Linked DNA regions of Anolis sagrei. The protein of the gene in region 1 interacts with the protein of each later gene in a pairwise test. Links are inferred from orthologs where the notes say so. Each region holds a gene or a part of one and is shown in the gene's direction. Other genes may lie near its edges.

Region 1 (7,362 bases):
CAGAAATAAATAGAATACATTTCAACATAGAGAAAGAGGAATGCTGTGGTACTTACTGACATGTCTGTAGCTGACTGTGAATGAATACCATGTTGTTAGAACGCAACAAGTATTTAAAACATAAAAAAGGAAATCCTCCACAATAACATTTTCGCTTTGTAGGGAAAGAGTAAAAAGGTGACCCACCTGTATCTTTGTCCATTGCAATGGCAACTTTCTTGGATTCCTTTACAGATCTGGGAAAATCAATCCCAAAATACCAATGCTTCCCCAGCCCTCCCAGTTCCCCCAAAGGAAAACCAGCAAAAATCCAGACAAATGAGACATCAACAAGTTAGAAGGAAGACATCTGAAATAACGAGAAAGGTTCCCCTACTTCAACCAAAGCCCCTAGAACGATTCACAAAAACAACAAGAGCATCTCTTATTTCTTTAAAATTAAGGCAGCGCTTCCTATTCTAACCGAACCAGCATGTTAACTGCAGAGAAGATTTTAAATTCAAACAGGACATAATTCAGGACATAATTCAAAGCTGAGAACGTTTTTTTGTTTCTTTCTTTTGATGTGGTTTTGCTTATTTTCTTTCTCATTTGCTTTTTAGAAATACTGATGGATGTCATGCAAAATAACAATAAAAATTTATAGCGGAGGTGGCTGCATGCTAATCTCTGGGGTCCCCATGAATCTTGGCACCATCAAATAAAATTTTCTAACAACAACTTTTGATTTCAGCTTAAATCTGTTGTTAAAATAATAAATATTTTAAAAGAAAGGACATAACAAAGCAAAGGGAGAACTGGACACCCCTTCTATCTCAATGGACCCAAATAGCCATGGCTGTGCCTTGTGTCAAAATAACTCACTGCGCAGATCTTCAAAGGCATGAAGAATGCTGAAGGTGGCCAAAGGAGATTCAGGTCAGCTTCACAAGTTCCTTGGTTAGCTTTGAAAATTTGAGCTATGGTTTACCTTAGCTTCCCCAGATTTCCCAATTGTTCTTCTCTTCTATTTTTTTGGTTATGTATTTAATGTTCCTCCATCTACCTGTTCCCTCAATCTCTCTCTCTCTCATCCTGCCCAAAGCTCTGGTAATGAAGGGAGTGAGAAAAACCAGTATGGAACCAGTGAGACAGCCTTACTTATCGGAATGGGCAGGATCCTTCCACCAGCCATTGCACATCACAATAGGAAAAAAATAGTTCCTGGCTGTAGTGCTCAATGCATGCAAATGTGCTCCTTGTAAATCCTTGCTCACATAATACAGGCCAAGCATTCTTTATCCAGAAATACAAAATGCTCCAAAATCCAATGATGAATTGGCCCCCAATGCTTAACCAGGGATCATCCAGATGAGCGCTTCCCAGACTTAGTCCTCCATTATCTTTAGACCTTTGCTTCCAGAATTCCTGACTTTTGGCCAAGCTGGCTGGGGCTTTAGGGAGGTGAAGTCCAAAAAAAGATGGAGGACCTAAATTGGGGAAATATTAGTCCAGACTAACATGGCCATGGCTGTGTTTACACTGCAGAATTATAGCCGTGTGACAACTTGAACTGCCATGCTATGTCATTTTGGGATGCGTAGTTTTGTGTGATATTTACCTCTGATTGAAAGCTCTGATGCCACAACAAACTACAAATCCCAGAGTTTACAAGATGGATTCATGACAGTTAAACTAGCATCAATCTGTTATAATTCTGCAGTGTGGATGGTTCCCAGCAATCCCCATACCTTTTCAGTCATGGAACCCTGTTGAAGACAACTACATTCTGTGGAACCCTAACTCATCCCTGATTTGTTTAATCAAAATATATATTCTGGTTAATTTTACGCTAATTGAAATACGTTTATCAAGTTCATATATAAACTCTAGTTTGGGAGCAAATTTTACTCTTGATGTTTTATGAATAATATCCCAAATGTCTTTTATTTTTCAGAATATTTAGTCCAGATTTTTGACTAGGACCAACTTTGTGGCACAATTACAGGGCAAATGGATCTTGTAGCACCTTTGAGATTCACTGAAAGAAAGAAGTTGGTAGTGTAAGATTTCATAGATTTTTATCTACTCTATCAGTTGCATGAAGTGAAGGAACTGACAACTGGAAACAAGAGGAGAAAGTCTAGCAGAGTATTCAGCGATGCAATTTTGTGCCTGATACTATAGCCTTCTGTAGTGTCAAAAACAAAACAAAACAAAACACTAGAGTATTTTTTTTTCAGTGCTCCAACGTGTTAGGGAGGACAGGACTGCATATTCCATATTTCTTTCACAATATTGCTGTTCCGTATTTCTGTTCCACATTTCTTTTACAATATTGTTCATTACTAGTGTCTATAATTGCATTAATATTAGTTTATTGATATGTACACTTTCAATTCTTTATTAAATAAATAGAAGTGAAAACCTAATAGGTAAAAAAATTGAACCAAACCACCCAAATACAAGTTGAACATCCTTTACAGGGACAGATATTCCAAAACCAAAAAACTTCTAGATACAACTTGTACTGTTACACACTGTTAAGGTAAAGTAAAGGTTTCCCCTTGACATTAAGTCTAGTCAAATCTGACTCTGGGGGGTGGTGCTTTTCTCCATTTCTAAGCTGAAGAGCAGGTGTGTTATTTATCTGTTTGCGTATTTACAATAATAAAACCTTAATTTATTTTATTCTGAAAAAAAGTATTCAAAACAAAACAAAACTATCACGATACAAAAAGAAGCAAAGGTTTTTATAAGATACATTACTGAAACTGCAGCTGGGGGAAATGGCATTGAATATTTGCCATTAGTATGTTGTAAACCGCTTTGAGTTCCCCCAGGGGTGAGAAAGGTGGTATACTAATAGAGTAAACAAACAAACCACATTTTGGCACCACTTTCATGACCATGGCTGAATGCTATGCAATCCTAGGAGTTGTAGTTTGGTGAGGAACCAGCACTCTTTGTCAGAGAGGGCTTAAGACCTGTACAACTATAACTCCCAGCACTCCACAGCGTTGAGCCATGGCATTTAGAGTGGTGCCAGAAGGCAGCATCCACTCTTGGGCACAGGAGAGACGCATCCTCCTGTTCGGGCTTTTCTTCCTCCCTGATGGGCGGCTTCGGGAAGGCGGTACTTCCACCTGGGACGTCACGGCGGCCACCCAATCGGCTTCCTCGGAGCCCCTGACGCGTTCCTGAAAGTTCCCTTTCCTCTCGGGTGGCCCTTCTGGGAACGGGAGACGGGTTCTATTTTTAGCCGGGGGGAGGGGAGGGGGGGAGGGAGAAACAAAGGAGGGCCACTCCACCCTAGCCTGGACCGGGCATCCGAGGTGAAGCCCCCCGCGAAGCCCTTTCGCCCTGCCAAGGAGGAGATTCACCTGGCAATACCCAAAAAACAGTGATCTTTAAAAAGTTGCATCTACACTGTAGAACTATTGCGGGTTGGAACCCCTTAGAAGCCCAATGCCTCAAAGCTGTGGGATCCTGGCAGCTGTAGTCCTACGCGCTCTTTACCGAAGAGGAGGGGCGCCCCGTAAAACTAGATCTCTCTTGGCACTGAGTCCACGTTAAGCTGCATTCCTTCTATGTTGCCGATGCGGCCTAAGCCTCGCGAGCGTTCCCTGTCCGAAGCCTGAAAAGAAGCGTTCTTTGAGCGCACAAAAACAGCCGGGAAAAGGCCTCACAACCTCTGAGGATGCTTGCCATAGATGTGGGCGAAACGTCAGGAGAGAATGCTTCTGGAATGTGGCCACACAGCCCGGAAAACTTACAGTGATTTTGAACCATGAAAGCCTTCGACAACACTAGTCGAAAAAGAGTTGCTGCCTTCCTAGAATCATAGAATCCTAGAGTTGGAAGAGACCTCATGGGCCACCCAGTCCAACCCCATTCTGCCAAGAAGCAGGAATATTGCATTCAAAGCACCCCTGGCAGAGGGCCACCCAGTCTCTGCTTAAAAGCTTCCATAGAAGGAGCCTCCACCACACTCCCTCCGGGGCAGAGAGTTCCACTGCTGAACGGCTCTCAGGAAGTTCTTCCTCATGTTCAGATGGAATAGTCTGAAACTTGGAGAGAAGAGGGGCGCCTACTCGAGATGTCCCACGTCAGGCCACCAAAGCGGGCCGGGGGCTGGTGCCACCTCAGGCCGGGAACCTCCTCGTCACACTAAGGAGGGAGGGAGTGTAGGCGTGCCCCAAGTGAAGGCCGGCCCTGTCCCTTCCTCCATTGGGGAGGAGGAGGAGGAGGAGAGGGCTGGGCCCCGCCTTTCCCTCCCACTTTCTGAGGGAAGCCGAGGAGGAGGAGGAGGAGGCTGGCGATCCTGGGCCTCCCGTCGCCGCCTTCCCCGAGCGGCAGGAAGGGAGGGAGGGAAGGAAGGAAGGAGGGCCCTGACTGCCGCCTGGGTGGAAGGGGAGGGGCCGGAGCCGTTGCCGCGGGGCTGAGGCGGAGGGAGCTGCCGTTGGGCCTTAGGCGCGCCGAGCGACGGAGAGGAGGAGGAAGGAGAAGCGAAGGGAGGCGGAGGAGGAGACCCCCCTCTCTCTCCCTCTCTCTCCCTCCGCCGACGCCGCGGAGACAAAAGAGCCAGCGAGGGAGGGCAGCCTCCTCTCCTCCCTCGGCCCCCCCTCCTGCCATTCTCCTCCTCCTTCTTCCTAGGGAGCCCACAGAGAGGACAGCCCGCGTCCCAGGTAGGAAAGAAACGCCAAGGGGAGAGGAAGGGGGCCGCCAACTTGTGGAGTTGCCGAGGGGGAAGCAAGGCACGCAGGCAGGAGGGAAAGAAGAAAGAAAGGAAGGCGCCCTCTCGTCCCGGGCCTGGCCTAGCCAGCGCGCCCGGGTGGAAGAGCCAGGCAGGCAGGCAGGCAGGAAAGAGCCGCCCTTCCCTCTCCCAACACTCCAAGCTTTGGCTTCTTTTCCCAGGGAGGAACAACCCGCCCCCCCCCTTTCTCGAAAAACCTAAATCAGGAGATCCCCCCCTTTTGTTATAGATCACCCCCACGTTTTCTTTACCGATTCTCTCCCCACTCCATTTTAACCCCCCTTTTTCCCTTCCATTTCTGGAGCGTGAGAGGGAAACTATTGTTTCAGAGGGCTGGCTGCCTCTTTCCTCCCAAGAAAGGAGTTGGGAGGGAAAGGAAGAGAAGGAAGGGAAGGAGAGGAGGGAAGGAAAGGAAGGGGGAAGGGAAAGTAAAGAAGGGAAATGAAGGAAAGAAGGAAGGCTGAAGAGGGAAATGAAGGGAAGGAAGGAAGGAGTGGAAGAATGGATGAAGGGAAAGGATGGAAGGAAGGAAAGGGAAGGAAAAAGAGGAGGGAAGGAAGGGGTTTGTTGTTGTTGCTGCTGCTTTTTTTCTTTACAGAAATGATAAAAGGGAGAGAACTGTTCCAAAGGGATCCTGGTCTCTTCCCCTAATCCTGGAAATTTCCCCAACCGAAGTGGGTGGCCAAGGGGTTTGGTCCCCTCGGGGAAGAAAGCAGGAAGGGGCCAAAGGCTTTGGTCTTTCCCCCCAGGGCCCCTTCAGCTGTGGAGATTTCCTGTTTGTGTGTACAGGGAAGGGGACTGAAGTCCGTATTTCTGGGCTCCATTGTGGAGGGAGGGGTTTTTTTGGTGGGGGAAGTGGCAAGGAGGAGGGTTTTGGGGGCGTGAGTGGGAGCCATCCGGAGGGAGGACTGGAAGGCTGTGCCCACCCACCCCATCCAACCTTGCCCCCCTTTGGGGTTTGGAGGAAAGATGGAGCAGCACTGGCACATGATCCTGGGTTATTACATGTTTTTATTTTTTTCCCCCTTGGCCAGACAGCTGCTGGATTGTATCAGGGTGGGGAAGGGAGGCATCTCAGCAGGATCCGTGTCTAAAGAGGGCCATGCTCCTCCCTTGTTGTTTTCTTACATCTGTGAAATACCATCCCTGACCTATCTTTCCTGGTGGTTGTTCTAAAGCGCTCTGTAAATGATGCGTGTTGCTATTATCTTGGGCAGAAAAGCACCTCCTGTTTTTATAATCAGATCTGATCTCTTTCTCTGGGTGAATGAGAATTATTGTGACTTAAGTTAGAAATTTTAGGGGGCAGAAAACATTAACCACTCTTCTCTTCCATGTGTTAACTTTGTGTCCAGAGTATCCCCCTGGATCTCCTTACTTCCCTGAAATCTGTGTTCTTTGTTAGTTTCTCACCTCGAACCATTTCCAATTTGATGCAGAGGTGAGCCCAGGTGTGCTCTGCAGGAAGGTGCAGCCAATCGGGACTTCTTGACCAGCCCACCTGTATGATGTACCTGCCCACTGCATCCACACCTGAAATCTTTTCTTTCTGATACAGGGTGATTGAGGGTTGTGGAACCTTCTAAGATACTGAGGGAGGCAGGGATTTTCAGTGCTGGCAGTTTCCTCTCTCTCTAATGATGTACATTGCTGCATGTTCAAATCCCAGTTTCCAGGAGAATGGTGGCATCATTTTAGTATCATGTGGGCTGCTTTCTCTACCATTTAAACACAAGAATAGTGACATCAGACACATCCCTTGCTGCACATCAGGCTTCCTGGACTCACCTTCCTCTTATGATATTTTTTTTTTGTTTTTAGCTGCCATCAAGTTCACTTTGAATTAAGGCAACCCATGAGTGAGATACCTCCAATATCAATAGCCCTGCTCAGGTTTTGCAGGTTCAGAACTGGCACTTCCTGGTTGAGTCCATCTTTCTGAAATAAGGTCATCCTCTTTTACTAGTGCCTTCTACCTTACTAAGCATTGTTTTTCTTTTCTATTGAATCATGTTTTCTCATGATACGGCCAAAGTATGACAGTCTTTGTTGTCTTCTGGGGAGAGTTGAGGCTTCCTTTGTTTAGAACCCTTTTTTGGACTTGTTTAGTACTTCATATCATTATTCCTTTTCAATATGGGTTCTGGACCTTTGCTAGAAGTTGAAGTGAGGAGAAAGGAATACCACAGACTTGACTTTGAAAGATATGTAATTGGGCCCCTGAACCATTTCATGAAATGAACATTACCAAAGTAGATCTGTTTCTCTTCTTTCCACTGTGCCTGTGTCCATCACGGAGAGGGATTTTTTTTTAAAGCAGTGATTTTGGGGAAATAATAATAAAAAAAAATAATACACTTTATTTATATTCCACCCTTCTCCCCTAGGGAACTTTGAGCGGATTACAGCATCTACATACATAGGCAAACATACACATATATATACTCACATGAGTGGATGCTGATTGTTTTCCTGGATCGTGGAAGGGCTAATGTGAATAAATACTGCAGCACTGAAGAGTATATCCCCTTCATAACCTTTAGATATATACATGTCTGTTTACTTTCATTCCTGTGGAAGCCATTACCATGCTCTTTGGGGATCTAAAGAGCAAAATAAGTTTGTAT
Region 2 (7,683 bases), on another chromosome or scaffold:
GTACAGTTAAGAAAACCTCCAGATCAGATAATTGGCATGATTGCCACTTGTCATCATAATTATGAAAGCACACTAGAATTAGATGGTTAATTGGGCATTTACATGCAAAATAGTAGAGGTATTTGCCTGTGATTTTTTTGTTGTTTTTTGAGGGTGCCGTAGGCATATCTGTTAATGATGTGGTTCAGAGGCACTGATGTGACGTGTGATTTGTCGTCATATGCTAATGTTGGAGTGTTGTTGTTTTCAAAAAGTCAGAATCCAAATATATAGAGATTCATATATGCAAACTGACATCATTGAAAGAGACAAAAATTCAAATATCTGATTTATTTCTCCACATTGCAAACACGGCTGGTGGGGACGAGAGACAGGGCCTCCTCGGCCATGGCCCCCCACCTGTGGAATGCACTTCCAAATGAGATACGATCGACCCCATCCCTCCTGGCTTTCAGGAAGAAATTGAAATCGTGGTTCTGGGACCAGGTTTTCAGACAGCAGACATAAATCAGCACTTTGGTTGGAAATGGATTGGCAAGACGATATCTATGAAGATACGGTTTTATTGTTTAATTAATGTTTTATGTCCTGTCGAAGGCTTTCATGGCTGGAATCACTGGGTTGTTGTAGGTTTTCCGGGCTATATGGCCATGTTTTAGAGGCATTTTCTCCTGACGTTTCGCCTGCATCTATGGCAAGCATCCTCAGAGGTAGTGAGGATGCTCTGAGGATGCTTGCCATAGATGCAGGCGAAACGTCAGGAGAAAATGCCTCTAGAACATGGCCATATAGCCCGGAAAACCTACAACAACCCAGTTTTATGTCCTGTTTTAATTAATGGTTTATGTATTTTATGTATTTTAATGGCTTAATTTTTTTTTTGTATGTAATGGTTATTGTATTTAATTGTTTATATGTAACGGCATCGAATCGCTGCCAGTGTAAGCTGTCCTGAGTCCCCCTTTGGGGGTAGAAAAGAGACAGGGCAGAAATACCGGAAATAAATAAATAAACAAATAAACTCAATTCTACTTCAATTCTCTATGGGATCCAGTTTTCCCTGAAAAGAGTGTCATTAACCCATTTGTATCTCTCTATATCTGTTGCCCCACAGCAATAATATCAGAAAACTTGTTTCTTAATTTAATTTACTGTTTGTGGCTTGCTTCCAAGAATCATAGGGACCTGACAGAAGTGCCTTGCATGTTTTTGTATCACAAAATGCTTCTGGATTCAAAATTTTAATGAATTAGTTTTTTTAAAAACCTTGATTAGTTGATAGCATTTTAACAGTTATATTCGTAGCCCTGTACTTGGGATCTTCCTTTTTATGCTACAAGGATCTGAGTATTTTGTGGTTCAGTTTATAGGTGCTGATATTGGTGTGTATTCCACATGACTATGATTCTGATACCTTGGACCACCATAAAAGTCAATAACAAACATGAGCAATTCAAGCCTGAAATCTCAAATTATTAAACTACAGCAATTGTATCTTGGACTTTGTGTGAAAAAGGAGTCGTTGGAAAAAAAATGATTAACTTAAGGAAAGTGGAAGGCAATAAGGAAAGAGAAAGACAACCTTAGAGATGGTGGTTGTTGTGCACCTTAAAGTTGCTTCCTCAAAGATCATATTGTAGATGGTTGTTGTTCCTGTGTGCCTTCTAATCATTTCTGACTCATTGTGACTCTGACACTATCACAGGGTATTCTGAGACTGAGAGTGTGTGACTGGCCCAAGGATATTAAGTTGGTTTCCTGGCTGAGCGGAAAGCTTAACCCTGATCTTGAGTCATAGTCCAGTGCAAAAACCACTGAGGCCCCTTCTACGCTGCCTTAAAAATCCAGATTATCTGCTTTGAATTTATTTATTTATTTACTTCATTGATATCCCGTCCTTCTCACTTCACGGGGAACTAAGAACTGGATTATATATCAGTGTAGACTCCTGTAATTCAGTTCAAATCAAATAATCTGGATTATCTGTTTTGATAATCTGGATTATATGGCAGTGTAGATCAATCCTAAATCACACTGGCTCCATATGGCCTGATTTAATCAAGGATGCCACCACCCTGAAATTGCTAGAACTGAATGGAGCTCATTGCCATATAAAATCCACATTATCTGCTTTGAAATTGATTATATGGCAGTGCAATTATTAAATATTGCAATTATTAAAACAAGATCTGTTAAAACAATTCCAAACTCTCTGAAGATCCAACTGCATTAATTTGCGCATTATTATTATTATTATTATTATTATGCAATAACAATCCATAGCAACCACTTACATTTGCTGTGAGATTGGGAATAGCCAAATTTATAAGACGTCCTTTTACCCTTGCTTAAACTTTAAAAGAGGCACCTTCCACACAGCTGTATAAAATCCACATCGAACTGGATTATATGGCAGTATGGACTCAGATAATCCAGTTCAAAGCAGATATTGTGGGATTTTCTGTCTTGATATTCTGGGTTATATGGCTGTGTGGAAGGGCCTTGAGTTTCCGTATGGAGAGAAAAAGCGAGATATTAATAAACATCATAATTGGGTTGCTGTGAGTTTTCCAGGGTGTATGGCCATGTTCCAGAAGCATTCTCTCCTGATGTTTCACCCACATCTATGGCAAGCATCCTCAGAGGTTGAGGGGTCTGTTGGAAACTAGGCAAGTGAGGTTTATATATCTGTGGAATGTCCAGGGTAGGAGAAAGAACTTTTGTCTGCTTGAGGCTAGTGTGAATGTTGCAATTGGCCACCTGATTGCAGCCTGGGGGAATCCTTTGTTGGGAGGTGTTTGTTGGTTATGGGAGTTCTGTGTTCCAAGTTTGGTTCGATTCCATTGTTGGTGGAATTCAGAGTGCTTTCTGATCATAAGTGAACTATAAATCCCAGCAACCACAACTCCCAAATAATTTATTTATTTGATGCACTTATTATCCCAAATAACAAAACAATCCCCCCCAACCCCACCAGTATTCAAATATGGGAGTATTGGATATTTGTGCCAAATTTGGTCCAGTGTATGAAAATACATCCTGCATATCAGATATTTACATGACGATTCATAATAGTAGCAAAATGACAGTTATGAAGTAGCAACGAAAATGTTATGGTTGGGGGTCATCATATGAGGAACTGTATTAAAGGGTCATTGCATTAGCAAGGTTGAGAACCATTGCATTGGAGCAGGGGTCCTCAAACCTTTTAAACAGAGGGCCAGGTCACAGTCCGTCAAACTGTTAAAGGGCCGGATTATAATTTTTTTTAAAAAAATGAATGAATTCCTATGCACACTGCACAGATCTTATTTGTGGTGCAAAAAACACCTAAGACAATACAATAATTAAAATGAAGAACAATTTTAACAAATATAAACCTATTAGTATTTCAATGGGAAGTGTGGGCCTGATTTTGGCTGATGAGATAGGATTGTTGTTGTTGTTGTTCGCTTTCAACTCGATCCAGACTTAGGTTGACCCTGTGTGAGGACCGGGTAAATGACCTTGGAAGGCCGGATCTGGTCCCCGGGGCCTTAGTTTGAGGAACCCTGCATTAGAGCATGGATCCACTTTAAATCCAGTTTCTGCCCCCTTCAGAATTTTGGGGCTTATAGTTTAGGGAGGGGCCTTTAAACTGCTCAGCCAGGCAAGTCCTGGCCCTCACCAAAACTACAAACCCCAGAATTCTGCAGGAGACAGACACTGGATTTAAATTGGATCCATGCTCTAGGTCAGTGTTTCTCAACCTAGGAATTGGGACCCCTGAGGGGGTTGCGAGGGGGTGTCAGAAGGATCGCCAAAGACCATAAGAAAGCACAATATTTTCTGATGGTCATGGGGATTCCATGTGGGAAGTTTGAGCCAATTCTATCATTGGTGGAGTTCAGAATGTTCTTTGATTGTAATGAACTATAAATCCCAGCAACTACAACTCCCAAATGGCAAGATCTATTTTCCCCAGACTCCACCAGTGTTCACATTTGGGCATATTGAGTATTTGTGCTAAGTTTTGTCCAGATCCACCATCACATGAGTCCACAGTGCCATTTGGATATAGGTGAACTACAACTCCCAAACTCAAGATAAATGCCCATCAAATCCTTCCAGTGTTTTCCATTGGTCATGGGAGCCAAGTTTGGTTCAAATCCATCTCTGGTGGAGTTCAGAATGCTCTTTGATTAGAAGTGAACTATAAATCCCAGCAACTACAACTCCCAAATTACAAAATCAATCCTCCCCCAAACCCACTAGCGTTCACATTCGGGTGTATTGGGTATTTGTGCCCAGTTTGGTCCAGTGAATGAAAATGCATCCTGCATATCAGATATTTACATTATGATTTATAACAGTAGTAAAATGACTGTTATGGAGTAGCAATGAAAACAATATTATGGTTGGGTCGTCACCACAACATGAGGGACTGTATCAATTGGTCACGGCATTAGGAAGGTTGAGAACCACTGCTCTAGGTCTTGAGCAAGGTTCCACTTTAAATCCAGTTTCTGCCCGCTGCAGAATTTTGGGGCTTATAGTTTAGGGAGGGGACTTTAAACTGCTCAGCCAGGCAGGTCCTGGCCCTCACCAAAACTACAAACCCCAGAATTCTGCAGGAGGCAGACACTGGATTTAAAGTGCTCTAGTGTGATGAGGCTGTGCAGTTTGACACCTCTTGAACTGCCAGGCTGAGTGCTAAAGGATCCTGGGAGTCGTAGTTGGGTGAGGCATGGAACTACAACTCACAGGGAGCCATAGCACTGCGCCCTGGCAGTTAAAGCGGCGTCAAAGAGGGGGAAACCGACTGGGCCGGCGTTTCAGAAAGCTAGGCCGCAACCCGCGCCAGAGAGAGCAGGAGAAGGCGCTTTCCTCTCAGCTGCTCGTCCCCCCCTCTCTCTCTGTCTCTCCTTTTCCTTCTCAGGGAGGAGGAGGAGACCGGAAAGGCAAGCGCGGAAGGGGAGGCCAAGGCGGCGGCGGGGCCCTGCGAGGAAGAAGAAGACGCCTTCTCCGTTTCCGCGGCTCCCCTCCCGCGCCGCGCCTCTTGGTTTCGCCCGCGCCTCGCGCCCTGCCATGTTGGATTGAGCCGGGGACAAGTTAGAAGTTTAAGGAAGGAAGGCAGGGAGGAGGAGAGGGGGAAAGAGAGGCCGAGAGCAGAGGGGAGCCTCCTTCCTCTTCCTTTTCCTCCCTCCCTTCCTGGGCCACTGCTCTCCATGCCCCTCTGAGGGGCCTGCCTGCCTGCCTTCCTGCCTTCCTTCCCTCTCCGGCCTGGCCCCGCCATGAGCAGCAACAACAACGCCACGCAGCCCCCGCCGCCGCGGAGGGTCACCAACGTGGGCTCCATGCTGCTCACCCCGCAGGAGAATGAGAGCCTCTTCGGCTTCCTGGGCAAGAAATGCGTGGTGAGTGAAGGAGGGAGGGAGGGCCGCTGCGAGGCCTGCTCTGGCGGGAGGCAGACAGGGCCCTGCGCCAAGTGACAGCCCAGGGGGGCTGAGGCGGAAGTGGCCCCCTGGGGCGGGCGAGGGGCGGGCTGCGGCCTCTGAGGGGGCGCCTTGAAACTCCCCCCTGAGGCGCTTCCGTGACCAGGAGGACCTTCACCAGGGGAAACTTGAAGCCCTCCTCTGAGGTACTTCTGTCACTAGAAGGACCCCCAAAGGGGGGCTTTTTGAAACTCCCCTTTGAGACACTTCCATAACCAGGAAGACCTTCGAAACTCGCCTCTCATGTACTTTCATAACCAGAAAGACCTTCACCAGGGGAGACCTGAAGCTCTCCTTAAAGGCACATTAGAAGGGCTTCCAAAGGGGGGCTGTTTGAAACTCCCCTCTGAAGCACTTCCATAACCAGGAAGAACCTTTAAAGGGGGAGACTTGAAGCTCTCCTTATAGGCACATCTGTAACTAGAAGGACTTCCAAAGGGGGGTTATTCAAAACTCGCCTCTCATGTACTTTCATAACCAGGAAGACCTTCAAAAAGGGAGACTTGATGCTCTCCTCTGAGGTACACCTGTTACTAGAAGGACCTCCAAAGGGGGGGGGGGGTATTCGAAACCCGCCTCTCATGTACTTTCATAACCAGGAAGACCTTCAAAGTGGGAGACTTGAAGCTTTCCTCTGAGGTACTTCTGTTATTAGAAGGACCTCCAAAGGGGGGCTATTTGAAACTCCCCTTTGAGACAATTCCATATCCAGGAAGACTTTCAAAGGGGTAGACTCGAAGCTCTCCTTAGAGGCACATCTGTAACTAGAAGGACTTCCAAAAGGAGGTTATTCGAAACACGCCTCTCACATACTTTCATTACCAGGAAGACCTTCAAAAGGGGAGACTTAGAGGCATTTCTTTTCCCCAGGAAGTCTTTCAAAGGGAGGATTTGAAGCTCTCATCTGAGGCAACTTTGGGTCCCGTGAAGGAGAAAAGCAGGATATAAATAAATATTTATTATTATTTAATATTATGACTTCCATGACCAGGAGGATCTTCAGAAGGAGAAACTTGAAACTCCCCTCTAAGATATTTCCATAACCAGGAAGACCTTCAAAAGGGAGCTATTTGAAACTCCCCTCTAAGGTATTTCCATGACCAGGAGGATCTTCAAAAGGGGAGGCTTGAAGCTGTCCTCTGAGGCACTTATATTACTAGGAGGATCTTCAAAGGGGGCTATGTGAAACTCCCCTCTAAGGTACTTCCATGACTAGGAAGACCTTGAAAAGGAGAGGTTTGAAGCTCCCCTCTGAGGCTTTTATTTTTCCCAGGAAGACTTTCAAAAGGGGAGACTTGAAGCTCTCTTCTAAGGTACTTCCCTGACTAGAAGGATCTTCAGAAGGGAAGATTTGAAGCTGTCCTCTAAGGCACTTCTATTACTAGGAGGACCTTCAAAAGGGGGCTATTTGAAACCCCTCTGAGGCACTTCCATGACCAGGAAAACCTTCAAAGGAGGAGACTTGGAGCTCTCCTTAGAGGCACTTCTGTTACTAGAAAGACCTCCAAAGGGGGTTATTTGAAATTTCAAAAGACCTTCAAAAGGGGAGACTTGAAGCTCTCCTCTAAGGCCTTTTTTTTTTCCCCAGGAAGACTTTCAAAAAGGGAGACTTGAAACTACTCTAATGTACTTTTATTACCAGGAGGACCTCCAAAGGGGGCCTACTTCAGGCTCCCCCCGAAACACTTCCATTACCAAGAAGACCTCAGAAGGGGAGACTTGAATCTCCCCTCTAAGGAACTTCCATGTCCAGGAAGACATTCAAAGGGGAGGCCTAAAGCTGTCCTCTGAGGCACCTCTATTATCTGAAGGACCTCCAAAGGGGGGGGGGGGTATTTGAAGCTCCCCTCTGAAGCATTTCTGTTGCCAGGAAGACCTTCATTTGGGGAAACTTGAAGCTCCCCTCAGAGGCACCTCCATTACCGGGAGTACTTTCAACAGGGGGTATTTGAAACTCTTCTCTGAGGCTCTTCTGTTGCCAGGAAAATTGTAGCCTATGGCCCTTAAAAGGGGCAACATGAGATACTGCCATTGCCAGGAAGACCCCTATGGCGCTTGTTCCAGAGGCTGTGATATGATGTTTGTGGAGAACTAGAATTTTCACAGTTTGGGGAAGGTCCAAACAAGTCTCAGCTTTTCATCTCCCTGGGGTTCCCTTTGTGGGCGTCACAGAGAGGGAAAAGCAAGCAAACCAGAGCACCCCCGTCCC
Region 3 (7,549 bases), on another chromosome or scaffold:
AACAGTGACCTGAGCCGAGAAAGATTGTATTTCCTTCAGCAAAAAATATTTACTGTCAATCTCTAGATCAGGCATCCTCAAACTGTTCAAGCCTGCAACTCCCAGAATTCCTGACAATTGAACAAGCTTGTTAGGGCTTCTGGGAGTTGGAGGCCCAAACAGCTGGAGGGTCACAGTTTGAAGATGCTTGCTCTACATGGTGTAGTGCAGGCATCTTCAAACTGTGGCTCTCCAGCTGTTTGGGCCAACTTCCAGAAGCTTTAGCCAGCTGGTTCAATTGTCATGATGTTTGAGAGTTGGAGGTCTAAACAACTGGAGGACCATAGTTTGAGGATACTTGGTGTAGTGTCTTCAACTTTGGGCTCTGACCCTTTCTACACAGGGGGATAAAATTCCACATTTTCTGCTTTGAACTGGGAGCCCTTCCACACAGCCCTATGTACCAGAATATCAACACAAGAAATCCCACATTATCCAAGTTTGGACTCAGATTACCCAGTTCAAAGCCGATATTGTGGGGTTTCCTGCCTTGATATTCTGGGTTATATGGCTGTGTGGAAGGGCCCTCTGACTCTGGAAACCAGGGCCCTTCCACACAGTCCTATATTCCAGAATATCAAGGCAGAAAATCCCACAATATCGGCTTTGAACTGGGTTATCTGAGTCTATACTGACATATATCCCACTTCAAAGCAGATAATGTGGGATTTTATTCAGCTGTGTGGAAGGGGTCCCAGTGGATGATCTTGGGTGAGTCACACTCTCTTAGTCCTCCAAAACTGTATTGTCAAAGGTTTTCATGGCTGGAATCACTGGGTTGTTGTAGGTTTTTCGGGCTATATGGCTATGTTCTAGAAGCATTCTCTCCTGACATTTCGCCTGCATCTGTGGCAAGCATCCTCAGAGGTTGTGAGGTTTACTTTCTTGATAGGTTTGCTTTAGGGTCACCATAATTCAAAAATGATTTGAAGGCACACAACAATAACAATCTCTATGCAACTAGGCCCAGGGGTAAGGTTCTATATTTGAAGGACAAGGGAATGACTCATGTGAACATTAACCTTGATCCTTCCCCCAACCCACACCTTCCTTTCTGGATATATTTACAAAAAGTTATGATCAGGTACATCAAGGTTAAATTCAAGTTGCATTTCTGTGTAGTCTTTCAGTAGGAATTAGTCTCCTAAAGGTACTTAGTGGCTTAACATGAGCAGAACTGGATGGATGTTAAGAGGGCAGTGTGCATTCCCCATGCACACTCGGTTCCTAATATCAGTGCTTGTGAACAACCTGTGGCCACCCCATGGGCATCTAATGGGTCACAAGGATATTGGACTGCAGAAGTATGTGCTGTGCTCCCATTGGCTCTTTTTATCATCTTGTACCTTTGGAAGCTGTCTCTGCCTTTTCAGCAAATTAACAGCTTTAGCGCCTCAGCTGTAATTCAAAGAAATCCTTGACAGGCATTCTTCTTATGCATTGTTGATTATATTTATGTCATTGTGTTTATACTTATGCAGGCCTGTAGTGAGGGGGTGGTTTTAGGGGTTCAAACCCCCCCCCGAAATGTTTCAGATTTTTTTAAAAAAACTGGTTTACTCATGAATTTTAACTGGTTAACCAAATCCCCATGCTAAGTCTATGAGATGCAAAAAATTAAGAGTCCCTCCAGAGCTGTAAGCACTATCTCAAGCAAATATTGACAATTTATTCACACTGTCATTACTTGCAGCAATAGCGATGTAGTGAAGCAACCAAGTGGTGTGTGTGTGTGTTGAATGCTCTCATTAAGGAGGCCAGACTTGGTGGAGGTGGTTGACAGGGGTGGAGCTGCAGGCTATTGAAGGTTGCTCTGCCCCCTGCTGTGCGCTTTGCTTTAGCGTGAGCTAGGAGGCAGGTTTCAACCCCCCCCCCAAATTTTCAACCCTCCCCGAAATTCCCCCCCCCCCCCCGAAATTTTCAAACCCCCCCCCCCCGAAATTGTCAACCCTCCCCGAAATTTTTTTCTGGCTACGGCCCTGTACTTATGTATGGTTGTCTGCATGTGGCACTTGGAGTGCTTCTGTGAGCCGTCCCGGGTTCCTTTGGGGAGATGGTGGCAGGGTGCAATTATTATTATTATTATTATTATTATTATTATTATTATTATTTGAAACACAACAAGATGAGTCCACAGCAGACACTCTGCTGGCTGTTGTATTGGATCACACATCGGACACTTCCCAAGTGTCTAGGACTGTGTGATGTATTGGTGAATGATGCGTGCAGATCCCAGTAAGGTGGACTTCTGTAGCTGGCAGGTGGTAATTTTGTCAGTGCCGATTGTGTTTAAGAGCAGGCCAAGGTCTTTAGGCACTGCACCCGGTGTGCCGATCACCACTGGGACCACCTTGACTGGCTTGTGCCAGAGTCTTTGCATTGTTTATTATTATTATTATTATTATTATTATTATTTTAATGGCAAATAGGAAATGCACTGTCAAATATGTGCATCATAAAGTAATTTATTTCACAAGGGCCTTAGTTTAGAAACTTTGTTAGATCCTGGGCAGGAGAGCTGGTTTTGCCAACTTCTGGGTTATGCTGACAACTATTGCTACTTCAATTATATGGATTTTACAGAACATGAGGAAATTAATTCAACATTGCTTGGTTGGTTCGGGTGATTTTGCATTTACCTTCCTCAAAAGAGGGTTAAATAAAGGCACCAAATTCTCTCTGAACTTGGAAACTAAACAGGTTTTAGCAAAAATGGATGGGAGGCTGCCAATTAATACCAGGAACTGTAGCAATATTTCAGAGGAAGTAATTGGCAAGACCTGAGTTTTAGTCCCCAGGTCAGTTTCCTTAATTTTCAGGGTTTAGGCCCTTGGTCAGTTCCCTTAAATTTTAAGGAAACTAAAAACCTGTAGTAGTTTCATAATTCCAATATCATGGGAACCACTGTTGGTGCAGAAGTGAGGAACCTTGGTAGGGCTGAATTTCTGCCTGGAACTAATGATAGGGATTCTTCCAACCAATACCTTGGAAAGGGCTAAATGTAAAGGTCAGTGCAAAATTGAGTTGGTGCTTCAAGATAGAAGTATAGCTGGCCTGACTTCTGCTTTCTCTGTATGTGCCAAGGAAGATGGAAGCAGACTTAGATAGTGGCACAAAACAGAGACAGAAACTACAATTTGCGTTGTTCGTCTCTTACTTTCCCTGAGTAGCTTCAAGGTTCTTTTGTTTTTTTCTCTCCTAATGGGACAGGAGACATATGGGTCCATGGGTTGGGCAGCTTGGGCATAATGGTTTGATGGATCAGATACAATGTAGTAGTATTGAGCTCATCCTTGGTTTTCTATGTTGACTAGCAATGTGTGCTCTGAACTAGTATCAAAGGAAAGATAAATTCCCAGAATCCCCAAGCAAGGATGCTATGAACTATAAACTAAAATATGCTGTCCCAAACGCTGAGGACCCTTCTACACTGCCAGATAATTCAGGTTATCAAAGGAGAAAATACACATTATCTGATTTAAACTGGATTATCTTTGGCCCCTTCCACACAGCTATACAAAAATCCACGTTATCTTCTTTGGACTGGGTTATATGGCAGTGGGGAAAACGGAATGTTGGCGGACAGGAAAAGTGATTTAAAGATGGGCTCAAAGCTAACCTTAAAAACCATAGACACTGAGAACTGGGAAGCCCTGGCCCTTGAGCGCTCCAGCTGGAGGTCAGCTGTGACCAGCAGTGCTGCAGAATTTGAAGAGGCACGAATGGAGGGTGAAAGAGAAAAACGTGCTAAGAGGAAGGCGCGTCAAGCCACCCCTGACCGAGACCGCTTTTCACCTGGAAACCAATGCCCTCACTGTAGGAGAAGATGCAGATCAAAAATAGGACTCCACAGTCACCTACGGACCCACCAGAATACTGATCCTGGAAGACTATCCTACTCGGGCAAGGTGGGATTGCGTAAGTAAGTAAGTAAGTAAGTATGTAAGTAAGTAAGTAATGGAAGTGGGGACTCAGATAACCCAGTTCAAAGCAGATATTGTGGATTATCTGCCTTGATATCTGGGTTATATGGCTGTATGGAAGAGCCCTTAGTCTACACTGCTATATAATCCAGTTCAAAGCAGATAATCTGGATGTTACATTGCTATGAAGAAGGGGCCTGAGTTAAGTTACACATGTTCACCTGGCTCACTTAGCAATAAAAGTCAGCATTGCTGCAATCAGTTAAGCAAACAAAGTTCTATAAATAATAGTTTCCTCTCTTGACAGTCCCTCTCCCCTCCCTGCACCATCTCCCTCAACATTTCCTCAGTTATTTCTCGTCATTTATTGTTGCTCACTCAAGCCGAAGAAAGTTTTCTTATCTTGTATGCTAAGCGTGGAGGTACTTGTCACTCCAGGAATGAAAGAGGATGTCCACACAGTTTCCATGTGTACTTGGAGGACAGCAATAAATCTCAGGGTGTCAGCAAGAAGACCGAGGGGTGGGATGGGCTCTGCCACAGGAGGCGTCGACTCAAGTATAAAAGAGGTCCCAGCCAGACAGTGTCACCATGAGTTGTGTGAAACTGAGATCGGATCTTGGGTGAAGTTGCCACACCGCACGCTGTCAGGAGGAAGTGTGGAGACCAGACTGATGACAGCATGTCCTCCGAATTGCAGCAGCTGATACAGGCATCCATCCCTTGTGCAAGGGGGGTCCTGAAGGAAAACTACAGCAACCTGCTCAAAGTGGCTGATTACTGTGAGAGCAACTATGGGCAGGTGAGTCACAGCTGGGTAGGATTCTGAGATGGCACTTGCCATAGAAGTGGGGCTGGCTCTACCATTGGGTAGAAACAACTAGTTCAGGTGGCAGGTCTTGGAGCTGCTGCCCATAATCCCTTCTTAGTCTGATTTATCCCTTTTGATGGAGGACTGCACTATTTTACAGCTATTGGAGACTTGAGTTACCTTTTGGACTGTAATTCCTAGAATTTCCAGAAAAATTGAGATTCCAGGGTTTGTAGTCAAGAAGTAATTTGGAGTGTCATAAACTAGCCTGTTGCTCCCAGTTGTGGTAGAAAGTGTTATCCCCTTGTTGTTACTGAAGGAAGAGTTTGCCTTCAATTACCTTCTGTATGTAGAATAGGGAGATGGTATCATCTTCACTTTGTCCATTGCCTCAGACAGAAGAATGTCTAGGGAAGGCATGGGCAAACTTTGGCCCTCCAGGTATTTTGGACTTTACTTCCCACAATTCCTAACAACCTACTGTTAGGAATTGTGGGAGTTGAAGTCCAAAATACCTCGCAAACTGAAGTTTGCCCATCCTTACCCTAGAGTTAGCTATAAAAAGCAGCACTCTAAGTCATGCTTGAACAGAAGTGTGGAAAGATAGTTTCCTAGGTTGCTGAGGGTATTGCCAGCTCCTGATGTGAATGGGATGGATGGCACAGGAATTATCTCCAAAGCTGTTGAAACACCTTTTATTTATATAGGAAGCTGGCTGCTGCAGGAGCTAGGGACTAGCAACCTCTGGGATGATGTAGGAAGCGGAGGGATGAATATTTCATTTATGCAGAGATTCTAGCCAACCAACACTCCTGCCTGGAAAGCCAGAAAATCATCTAACCAAGGGATGGGAGGGGGATCAGTTTTACAGTACCAAAGCCTCTTTACATGTCCTAAAAACCCCGAATCTGTGCTCCAGCTGAAACTTTGGGGTGATTTTGGATTGATTTTTTTTCAAACTCTAAATGTCCCCAACAGGCAAAAAAAAAAGTTGTTATTCAGCAATTTGATTTCCCCACTCCCATGCCATCTTTGGATCAAAAGCAACAGCAAGAATATCCCTGTAGGTAGCAAAAACTGGTAGTACTAACTGGATGGCCCCCCACAAGGGTCTTCCCCAAGAATGGGCAATTTGGAAGTCCCTGAACAGACTCCGAAGCGGAGTTGGCAGATCGAAAGACAACTTGGCAAAATGGCACTACCTAAAAGAATCCTCCCCCTTGTGTGACTGTGGAGCAGAACAAACAACTCAGCATCTGTATGCTTGTCCACAATGCCCTGCCTCATGCAATGAGGAAGAATTGTTTAAAGCTACAGACAATGCAGCCGCTGTTGCCCGTTTTTGGTCTAAAACTATCTAGCAACTTGTGAGCCCTTTATTTTATCAGTTTTAAATAAACTATTTTATGCAATGTTTTTGAAACAAAATAATATTTTGTATCAAGATGCAGATGAAAAATGATTGCCAGATATGCCATGACCTCATTTCAATGCACTTCAATGACCCATTGGGAAGTCTCTATGAAGGGTGTAAATTATTCCATGCCATCTATGCAGTTGCTCAGTTCCGCCTAATACAGTACAAGAGTAGGGAACGTTGTTTTAGACTAAGGAGTAAGTTTCAGTTTCTTGGAAGGTCATTGGAGGATACTTTCTAGAGATAAGCAAATTATAGGCAACTTTCATTTTAATTTTCATTGGGTTTTGTGAAGATTTCAACAAAAAGTAAATCCCAGTGTTTTGGGGATAACCTATAAACTTCCCCAGGTTTGTAGCATCACACGGGCAAAGGTAGGTAAAAGCAAAGGTTTCCTCTGACATAAAGTCTAGTTGTGTCCGACTCTGGGGGGAGGTGCTCATTTCCATTTCTAAGCCGAAGAGCTGGTGTTGTCCGTAGATGCCTCCAAGGTCATGTGGCTAGCATGACTGCATGGAGCGCTGTTATCTTCCTGCAGAAGCAGTACCTATTGATCTACTCACATTTGCATGTTTTCGAACTGCTAGGTTGGCAGAAGCTGGGGCTAACAACAGGAGCTCACCCCAGATTCAAACCACTGACCTTTTGGTCAGCAAGTTCAGCAGCTCAGTGGTTTAACCCACTGCATCACTGGAGGCTCCACACAGACAAAACCATACTTAAAGTTCTGTTCCTATAGCAAAAGTCACATCTGAGAAGCCACTACCAGACATTTCAGGGCCCTTCCAGATAGGCCCTATATCCCAGGATGTGATCCCAGGTTTTATGCTTTAAACTGGATTATAAGAGTCCGCACTGCCAGGTAATCTGGGATAAACAGAAAACCTGGGATCAGATCCTGGGATATAGGGCCTGTCTGGAAGGGCCCTTAGTATCTCTCTAAGTTTCCCTTTTTCTTCTTCCTCTTCCTTTCCCTCTTCCTCTGAAATAATTTAGGCACAAGACAAACGGAAAGCCCTTGAGGAAACGATGGGTTTTGCCACTCAATCATTAGCCAGCGTGGCCTACCAAATCAGCAACCTGGCCAGCGACATCCTCAAAATGCTGGACTTGCAGGCGGCTGAAATCCGGCAAGTGGAAGCCAATGTCTGCTCCATCACACAGGTGAGCAAGAAAGAACTGTATTTGGGGAGATAACATGAATAGTGTGAGAAGGGAATAAGAGCTTCATCTGACATGTGGTTCTAAACTAGAACCTTTTACTAGGTGGATATTTTTTTGTGGTTCTTGACATGTCAATCTGGATTGTTGCTGAAGGCCCAGAGGAAACCCATCCTCAAACTGAGAGCCCCTTTGAAT
Region 4 (8,453 bases), on another chromosome or scaffold:
TTTGAATCCAGTATGTCTTGGCATGTTTTCATGTCCACCACATATGACAGAAGGACCCTACTTGTTGTTCACATTTCCAGCAAATATTTGAGCTCTTTTTTATATCTCTTAGAGAGCATTTCAGGTGTCACATACCACCTATACATCATTTTATAGAAATGTGCTAGTTTTTAATACCTGAGAATGCACCTCTCTAGGAATGTCTGGATGTTGATTAAAGAATCACAACTGAAGAACTAACGTTTCCTAGAGAGATGTTATCTCTAGGCCATTCTAATCCTCCATCATTATCTTATGATCAACTTCTGACGGAAGTCCTAGAGAACTTAAAGATTCAGAGAGAACATTTTTTTATCATATTTGCAAAATCAAACCTCCAGGCGTGGAGATCTGACTGTAAAATATATATTATTTCCCTATCGTTGTCCATTCTATGTTAATACTAACATTTTAATACAACCATGTGAAAAACAAAACAAAATAAAATAGAACAACCCACAGGGGATCCACATAGTTCTCCGACAATAACAACTTCTGTGCTTTAAATCTGACTGCAGAACACCCAGGTGACTAAGAGCAACCATTTAAAGAACTATATAAAATCCTTCATTTCCCTTCAGGAAAGCTTCAGAGTTGGAATGTAGAGGAGATACCTTAAAGAGAGCGATAGGGGGATTTACTAGTCTCTCTAAGGACTTCCAACTATACAAGTGAAAAGAATGAAATTTATAAACCAGATTGAATATTCTGTATGTGTAGAAATCTATAGAACTCTTTTTCTCGACTATCCCAAAAGGCAAAGCAAGCTGAAGTGAGTTCAAGAGCTGGTTTATCTTCACTCTTTGACCTAGTGGCAAGTAAAAGGACTAGCTATGGTTCCTTGCCTGAAGGAAGGAGTTATATTTGTTGCCTCCCTGTTGGTGTTTTATTTAATCCCCACCCCTCAGTACTGGGAGAGAGTGCAATATGAGAGTTAACTGCTTCCTCTCACTATATACACCAGAAGATAAAAAGGATAAACTCAGACTGCAGCTAGGAGACATTACTGCTTCCCCCAGGCAAGGAGCTATTTCTGTTCCTTTGATGGTCTACTTGTCAAAATCATCACCCCATCAAATGCCGCACTTGCATTCAGATTATTGCTATTTAGTAATCCCTCCCTTAGCTTTATTGTTAGTTCAGTTAGTGCACTTATATCCGACTGTTTCTTTTTTTTTTACGAAAAAGAGCAGTTTCCATAGGTTCCCAGTCTGATTCAAACCACTGGCCATAGTTGGATGGGCTTAGCTTTGCCAAGATTGTAGTATTGTGTTTCCTAACAGCATCCATGGATTAATGTGCTTATTTCTCTGCATGGATTCAGTGAAGCTAATTGTGAGGGTTTCATTATCTAAGCTATTGCCAAGAGTGCAGTAACACATGGAGAAAAAGTTTTTGTTTTTCTTAGTTTTGAGCCATTAACATAGACACAGAAAGCAAATGGAACTACAGTGCAAGGACCAGATATAAAATACAATCATAGAATCAAAGAGTTGGAAGAGACCTCATGGGCCATCCAGTCCAACCCCCTGCCAAGAAGCAGGAACAGTGCATTCAAATCACCCCTGACAGATGGCCATCCAGCCTCTGTTTAAAAGCTTCCAAAGAAGGAGCCTCCACCACACTCCGGGGCAGAGAATTCCACTGCTGAACAGCTCTCACAGTCAGGAAGTTCTTCCTCATGTTCAGATGGAAACTCCTTTCTTGTAGTTTTAAGCCATTGTTCCACATCCTAGTCTCCAGGGAAGCAGAAAACAAGCTTGCATTTGTCACACCTTCCTTTTAGCATGAGGACAAGGCGAGCCATCACGTTCTCATACTGAGAGGAGGGCCCTCCCAACTGCCCAGAGGACTCACGTGTCAGACACCGGCACTCGTTAGCAGATCAGGCTAAATACTTTGAAAAACTACAACTCCCAGGATTCCATAGCCTTGAGATGTGGAAGTTAGAGTGAGGCTCAAACACATGAATTTGCCCCCCCCCCCCCGGCCAACTGCCACTGTCCAGCCCCCCATGAACCCCACCCAGCGTGTGCTCCCTCCCTTCCATCCTGTTAAATTTTAAAACACAATGCAGCCCCAATGTGAAAAAGTTTACTCAGGCCTGGTCTACACTTAAGGATAAATGCAGTTTGACACTGTTTTTACTGCCATGGTTCAGTATGATGGAATTCTTGGATATGCAGTTTGGCAAGGTACCAGCACTCTGTCAGAGAAGGTGAAAGCGCTTGTAAAACTACAGCTCTTGTGATCCCAAAACATTGAGCCTCGGCAGTTAAGTAAAGGTAAAGGTTTTCCCTAACATTAAGTCTAGTATTGTTCGACTCTGGGGGATGGTGCTAATCTCAATTTCTAAGCTAAAGAGCCAGCGTTGTACCTAGACACCTCCAAGGTCATGTGGCCAGCATGGCTGCATGGAGCGCTGTTACCTTCCTGCTGAAGCAGTACCTATTGATCTACTCAAATTTGCAGGTTTTTGAACTGCTAGGTTGGCAGAAACTGGGGCTAACAGTGGAAGTACACCCTGCTCCCAGGATTCAAACTACTAACCTTTCAATCAGCAGCTTAGTGGTTTAATCTGCTGTGCCACCAGATCGCTACCAGGGGGCAGTTAAGGAGTTGAATTAAATTCAGTTTGACACCTCTTTTAACTTTGAATGTGTTTTTAGTTAAGTTTAATGGATTTTAACAGTGATTTTCTTTAACTCCAAATGTGTTTTCAGTAAGTTTTACAGATATTTTTTAAAAAACACCAGTGATATTATTTTCTGTTTAAATGTTTGCATATTTGTAGATTTCAAATAGTATTGAAATGCTGGGTTATTGTGAGTTTTCCAGGCTATATGGCCATGTTTCAGAAGCATTCTCTCCTGTTGCATCTATGGCAGGCATCCCCAGAAGTTGTGACCTCACAACCTTTTGAGGATGCCTGCCAAAGATGCATGCGAAGTGTCAGGAGAGAATGCTTCTGGAACATTGCCATACAGCCCAGAAAACTTACAACAATCCAATGATTCTGGCCATGAAAGCCTCTGTATTTAAATGTGTTTTAAAGTAAGCTGCTTTGACTCTCCTTTGTGGAGGGAAAAAGCAGGGTATAAAAGTTAAGGGGGGGGGGGGGCAGAAGAGAGTTCCATCTTGTCTCCTGTGCTATGTTAATAATATAATATAATATATTGTAAATACATATAACATTAATAATATTATAATGTAATGCAATATAATATTACTACTACTAATATATTATAATTATATATTTATATTACATGTAATATTACTATTAATATTACAATATAATGGTATAATACAATATAGTAATGTTTAATACTGATATTGTACTATACAATGGTATTCCCCATAGTCAGCTACGGATGTGAGAGCTGGACCTTAGGGAAGGCTGACAAAGGAAGATAGATGTTTTTGAACTGTGGTGTTGGAGGAAAATTCTGAGAGTGCCTTGGACAGCAAGAAGATCCAACCAGTCCATACTTCAGGAAATAAAGCCTGACTGTTCATTGGAGGGAAGGATAGTAGAGACAAAGATGAAGTACTTTGGCCACATCATGAGAAGAAAGGAAAGCTTAGAGAAGACAATTGTGCTGGGGAAAATGGAAGGAAAAAGGAAGATGAGTCAACCAAGGGCAAGATGGATGGATGGTATCCTTGAAGTGACTGGATTGACCTTGAAGGAGCTGGGGGTGGTGACGGCCGACAGGGAGCTCTGGTGTGGGCTGGTCCATAAGGTCACGAAGAATCGGAAACAACTGAACGAATGAACAACAACAATTGTACTATGCTAATAATATAATATATTTTATGTAGCCGCTCCGAGCCCCAGGAAGCTGCTCCGAGCCCCAGTGGAGTGGTGGCATATATGTTTAAATAATAAATAATAAAATGTATATATATCTTGTAAGCTGCTCTGAGTCCCCTTCGGGGTGAGAAGGGCGGCATATAAATGCTGTAAATAAATAAAAATAATAAATAAGCCGCTGTGAATTTCCTTTGGGGTGAGAAGGGCGGCATATAAATGTCATAAATAAATAAACACAATAATAATATGTATTGTCGAAGGCTTTCATGGCAGGAATCACTGGGTTGTTGTAGGTTTTTTTGGGCTGTATGGCCATGGTCTAGAGGCATTCTCTCCTGATGTTTCGCCTGCATCTATGGCAAGCATCCTCAGAGGTAGTGAACTAGGAACTAGGAAAAGGGGTTTATTTATCTGTGGAATGGCCAGGGTGAGACAAAGGACTCTTGTCTGCTGGAGCTAGTCCTTTGTCGCACCCTGGTCATTCCACAGATATATAAACCCTTTTTCCTAGTTCCAACAGACCTCACTACCTTTGAGGATGCTTGTCATAGATGCAGGTGAAACGTCAGGAGAGAATGCCTCTAGAACATGGTCATACAGCCCGAAAAAACCTACAACACAATAACTGCTGTGGCTCAATACTATGGAATCATGGGAGTTGTGGTTTTAGACCTTTCTATTAGAAAAGTGCTGGTGTTTCACCAAACTACAACTCCCAATATTTGATAGCACTGAGCCTTGACAGTTAAAAGAGATGTTATGATGCATCAATGAGGATGCACCCAAGGTGGCTACCAAAATGTGTTAATTCTACAGTGTGTAGAACAGTCATGGGCAAGCTTGGGCCCTCCAGGTGTTTTGGACTTCAACTCCCACAATTCCTAACAGCCTCGGGACTTTTCCTTTCCCCCCTCAGCCGCTTAAGCTTAAAGTCCCGAGGCTGTTAGGAAATGTGGGAGTTGAAGTCCAAAACACCTGGAGGGCCCAAGCTTGTCCATGCCTGGTGTAGATTTACTTTTAGTGCTCATTCTATGTGGGCGCCCGAAAGGGCTGTAAGGAGGACCTTCCTTGTGCCCTGGGATAAAGGCGGCAGGGAAGGCCTCTAGGCCAGGCCTCCCAAGCCCCGCCCTCCCTCGCCCCCCGCCCGCGCCCTCCCACCTCTCAGCTTGGTGAACTTCTCCAGCCTCTCGCGGGTGGCCTGTTGCAGCCCGACCTCGGCCTGGCTTAAACCCTGCATGGCGCTGCCGGCCCCTTCGGCCCTCGCCTCGGTGCTTCCGGGTGGACTCGAGTGGGCCGGGCCTAGTAGGCCGCAAGGAGGAAGCAAGCCCGTTGCCGAGGTAACCGGAGCCCGTTGCCAGGGTAACCGGGAGCCGCGCGGGGCCGAAGTTTGCTTACGCCTCTACTGTCACTGCAAGGCATTTTTTTTAAGGGGAAGACTAATAGACAGATAGAGAAAGAACCCCATAGCACGTTGAACTTGGGTCAATACATAGAGCAGAGAAAGGTGAGCAGACTTTTCTGAATATTGGTATGGAATAGACCCCTCTCTCGCTCTCTCTCTCTTTAATTTGAAGGGAACCATAAACATCTTATTTGTGAGAGGTGTCCAAAGAAGACTTCTTTTCAGTGTTGTCACTATGGTTGGTGTCTCCCCCTCTTCAACCACACCATACAGTATGAGGTTTTTGTTTTTTTAACTTTTGCATAGTTTATATTTATTTTTATATATTTATCGTGTCAAAAACAAATTGAGAATACAGTTATAGTGTATTAAAAACCCCACAAACAAAGTTAAAAGCTTGGCATTCTACTAAATGTCCTTTGAGCAGAAGCTGGCCACTTCGAGTACTGTGAGAAGGTCCTCCATTGTGCATGTGGCAGGGCTTAGGCTGCATTGTAGCAGGTGGTCTGTGCTTTTGCCGCACGCGCATGTCATGGACTCCACTTTGTGGCCCCATTTCTTAAGGTTGGCTCTGCATCTTGTGGTGCCAGAGCACAGTCCGTTCAGTGCCTTCCTTCCATGTCGCCGGGTCTTCTGTGTGCCCAAGAGGGAGTTTCTCATCCATTTTCAGCTACTGATTGAGGTTTGTGGGATTTAACCTGCCACTTTTGGACTCTTGCTTGCTGAGGGGTTCCTACCAGTATCTCTGTAGATCTTAGGAAGCTGTTTCTTGATTTAATGTGTTGGCTTGCTGGTTGATATTTGAACAGAGGATGGCTCAGAGATGTCAGTGCCTTGGTCCTTTCATTGCTGGCTGCTACTTCCCAGCGGATGTCAGGTGGTGCAATACTGGTTAAACCAGGCATGGGTAAACTTTCTAACTTGGGGCCACAGGCGGGCCGGAGTGGGGTGGGGGGGAGGCAGGAGGGAGGTGGTTCTCCCCAAGCCCCCTCCATGCCCTTTCCTCCCCTTTCACTTCTCTTTCGGAGGCAGAAAGTGAAGGAAAGATGAGAAACGTTTGGCTCTCAAAGGGGTTGGCCTTGGTCAGATGAGATGGTGGACAGGGGAGAAAAAGTGTATCCATTAGACCCCATATTGCCTACTCCTGATATATAATCCTAGCACCCAAGTGACCCCAAGATCCATCCAGTCCAACCCCCTGCCATACAAGAAGGCACAATCAAAGCACTCCCAATAGACAGCCTCTGTGGAAAAGCCTCCAGAAAAGGAGATTCCACCTCACTCGGAGGCAGCTATGCCACTTTCCAACAGCTCTTACTCTCAGGAAGTTCTTCCTAATCTTTTCAGTCAAATCTCACTCCCTGCCATTTGAAACCATTACTCCCTTGTTCCCCGGTCTCTAGAGCAGCAGAAAAATCAGTTTTCCCCTCCTCCTCAATGGGACACACTTTGAAATCTTGAAAAATGATTCTCATGTTCCCTCTCTACCTTTTCTTCTCCCAGCTAAACATCCCCTAGGAGGAAAGAAAAAGAGAAGGAAGGAGGGGTAGAAGGGAGGGAGGGAAGTAAGGAAGGAATGACTCAAATGCCACTTGGAAATAAACTTAGAAGCAGATAGATGTACCCTCAGCCGCTGAGAAAGTTCCACATTGATTATGCTGGCACTGAAAAGGAGAAACAAGCAAATCACCTTCTCTCCTTCAGGTCAGAAACCAATGAACGGCAGCAATGTTGGGTGAAAAGCACATTTCCCAAGCTTCCCAATATGAAGTTAGAGTGAGATCATAGATAAGCAACAGACACATTATGTACACTATGTAACAGGATCTTTGTTCCTGGGTTATAAATGTCATTTCCTCATTGATTCTATCGTAAAAACATGGAAAAGGTGTATTAAATTGCAAAAACTTTGTTTTCTGCAGAACATCCTGCAGTACATTTTTGCTATACTTTTTATCAATGAATATCTCATCAAGTCGCAACCAATTCAACATAGTTTGTGGCACCCCCCCAAAATGAAGTTTCTGGAGTATAGCAACTACTTTCAAAGTACAATGAAATAGGAATAACATTTTCAATCCAGGAACAATTTTATCAAATTTTGTTACATAGTGTTATAAGTATAGTTGAACTGTTATTCCCTTTGTCTTCCAAAACTGACTCTGTTGGCTAAGGCACATAACAGCTGAATTCCAAAAAGTATGGCTCTCATATCCACAGTTTCCCTTATTCATGCAACAAAATATTCCTCCTTGGAAGTGTTTGTGGGCATCTCAAATAAAACCCTATGATATACTTCTGGTCCATATATAGCCAAACCAATAAGGTTAACTATTCTCCATAGCTTCAGGTGTCCCTAGAGGGCCTTGGAATGTCCCCTGCAGATATGAGGGTTGTACGATAATGATTTTTGTACTTTGTTACTTGCCCACCATAGTTTCCACATTTCATTGAATGTAATGACAGAATCAGCAACTATGAAAAAAAAATGGAAGCAAAGCCCCAAACACCCCCAAAGCCACTAGATCCTGACTGATCCTGACTTCAAAGTTAAGCAGGACCAATTCTGGTTATTATTAATATTTCATGTCAGGAGCGACTTGAGAAACTGTAGGTTGCTTCTGGTGTGAGAGAATTGGCCGTCTGCAAGGACATTGCCCAGGGGATGCCCTGAAGTTTTTTTTGTTTTTTTTTTTACATCCTTGTGGGAGGCTTCTCTCATGTCCCCGCATGAGGAGCTGGAGCTGATAGAGGGAGCTCATCCGCCTCTCCCCGGATTCGAACCTGCGACCTGTCGGTCTTCAGTCCTACCGGAGCTGGAGCTGACAGAGGGAGTTCATCTGAGCCGGATTCGGTCATCAGTCCTACTGGCACAAGAGTTTAACCCATTGTGTCACTCTGGTTAATCCTTGGATTAAAGATCACCAATAAATACCAAGTCCTATAGACTATATTTCAGAGGAAAGGACTGTAAAAACATCTCTTGCGTGCTCTTTAATAAAATATTATTAAATTTATTGGGTTGCTATATGTTGATCCCCACTATTCTACAAATGAGAAAAAGCAAGTGAACAGGCAAAACTTGATAGCTGTTCCCTCAATGAAAAACAGCTACCTCTCTTTTTGTACCATTCTTCCCTCTGGTTAGCCTCTCTGGTCTCATTCGTGTTAGGATCATTGTACTTTGCCCCATGTGGA

What was found.
Region 2: the proteins of NCK2 (region 1) and WASL interact in binary tests that used the Homo sapiens proteins (3 or more experiments, as listed by UniProt). The two-hybrid records come from large-scale screens. The link is inferred for Anolis sagrei from reciprocal best matches to the Homo sapiens genes NCK2 and WASL.
Region 3: the proteins of NCK2 (region 1) and ABI3 interact in binary tests that used the Homo sapiens proteins (3 or more experiments, as listed by UniProt). The two-hybrid records come from large-scale screens. The link is inferred for Anolis sagrei from reciprocal best matches to the Homo sapiens genes NCK2 and ABI3.
Region 4: the proteins of NCK2 (region 1) and LRRIQ3 interact in binary tests that used the Homo sapiens proteins (3 or more experiments, as listed by UniProt). The two-hybrid records come from large-scale screens. The link is inferred for Anolis sagrei from reciprocal best matches to the Homo sapiens genes NCK2 and LRRIQ3.

What each region holds. Positions count from the first base shown.
Region 1 is NC_090023.1:106,056,642-106,064,003, forward strand, and holds the start of NCK2 (cytoplasmic protein NCK2), read left to right. Parts: upstream 1-4,259; 5' UTR 4,260-4,667; intron 4,668-7,362. UniProt on the Homo sapiens protein: Adapter protein which associates with tyrosine-phosphorylated growth factor receptors or their cellular substrates. Maintains low levels of EIF2S1 phosphorylation by promoting its dephosphorylation by PP1.
Region 2 is NC_090025.1:127,455,342-127,463,024, forward strand, and holds the start of WASL (actin nucleation-promoting factor WASL), read left to right. Parts: upstream 1-4,627; 5' UTR 4,628-5,273; coding exon 5,274-5,396; intron 5,397-7,683. UniProt on the Homo sapiens protein: Regulates actin polymerization by stimulating the actin-nucleating activity of the Arp2/3 complex. Involved in various processes, such as mitosis and cytokinesis, via its role in the regulation of actin polymerization.
Region 3 is NC_090026.1:32,484,252-32,491,800, reverse strand, and holds the start of ABI3 (ABI gene family member 3), read left to right. Parts: upstream 1-4,333; 5' UTR 4,334-4,644; coding exon 4,645-4,764; intron 4,765-7,186; coding exon 7,187-7,354; intron 7,355-7,549. UniProt on the Homo sapiens protein: May inhibit tumor metastasis. In vitro, reduces cell motility.
Region 4 is NC_090024.1:161,747,472-161,755,924, forward strand, and holds the start of LRRIQ3 (leucine-rich repeat and IQ domain-containing protein 3), read left to right. Parts: upstream 1-5,193; 5' UTR 5,194-5,357; intron 5,358-8,453. Other genes in the region: FPGT (fucose-1-phosphate guanylyltransferase), read right to left, coding at 5,012-5,090.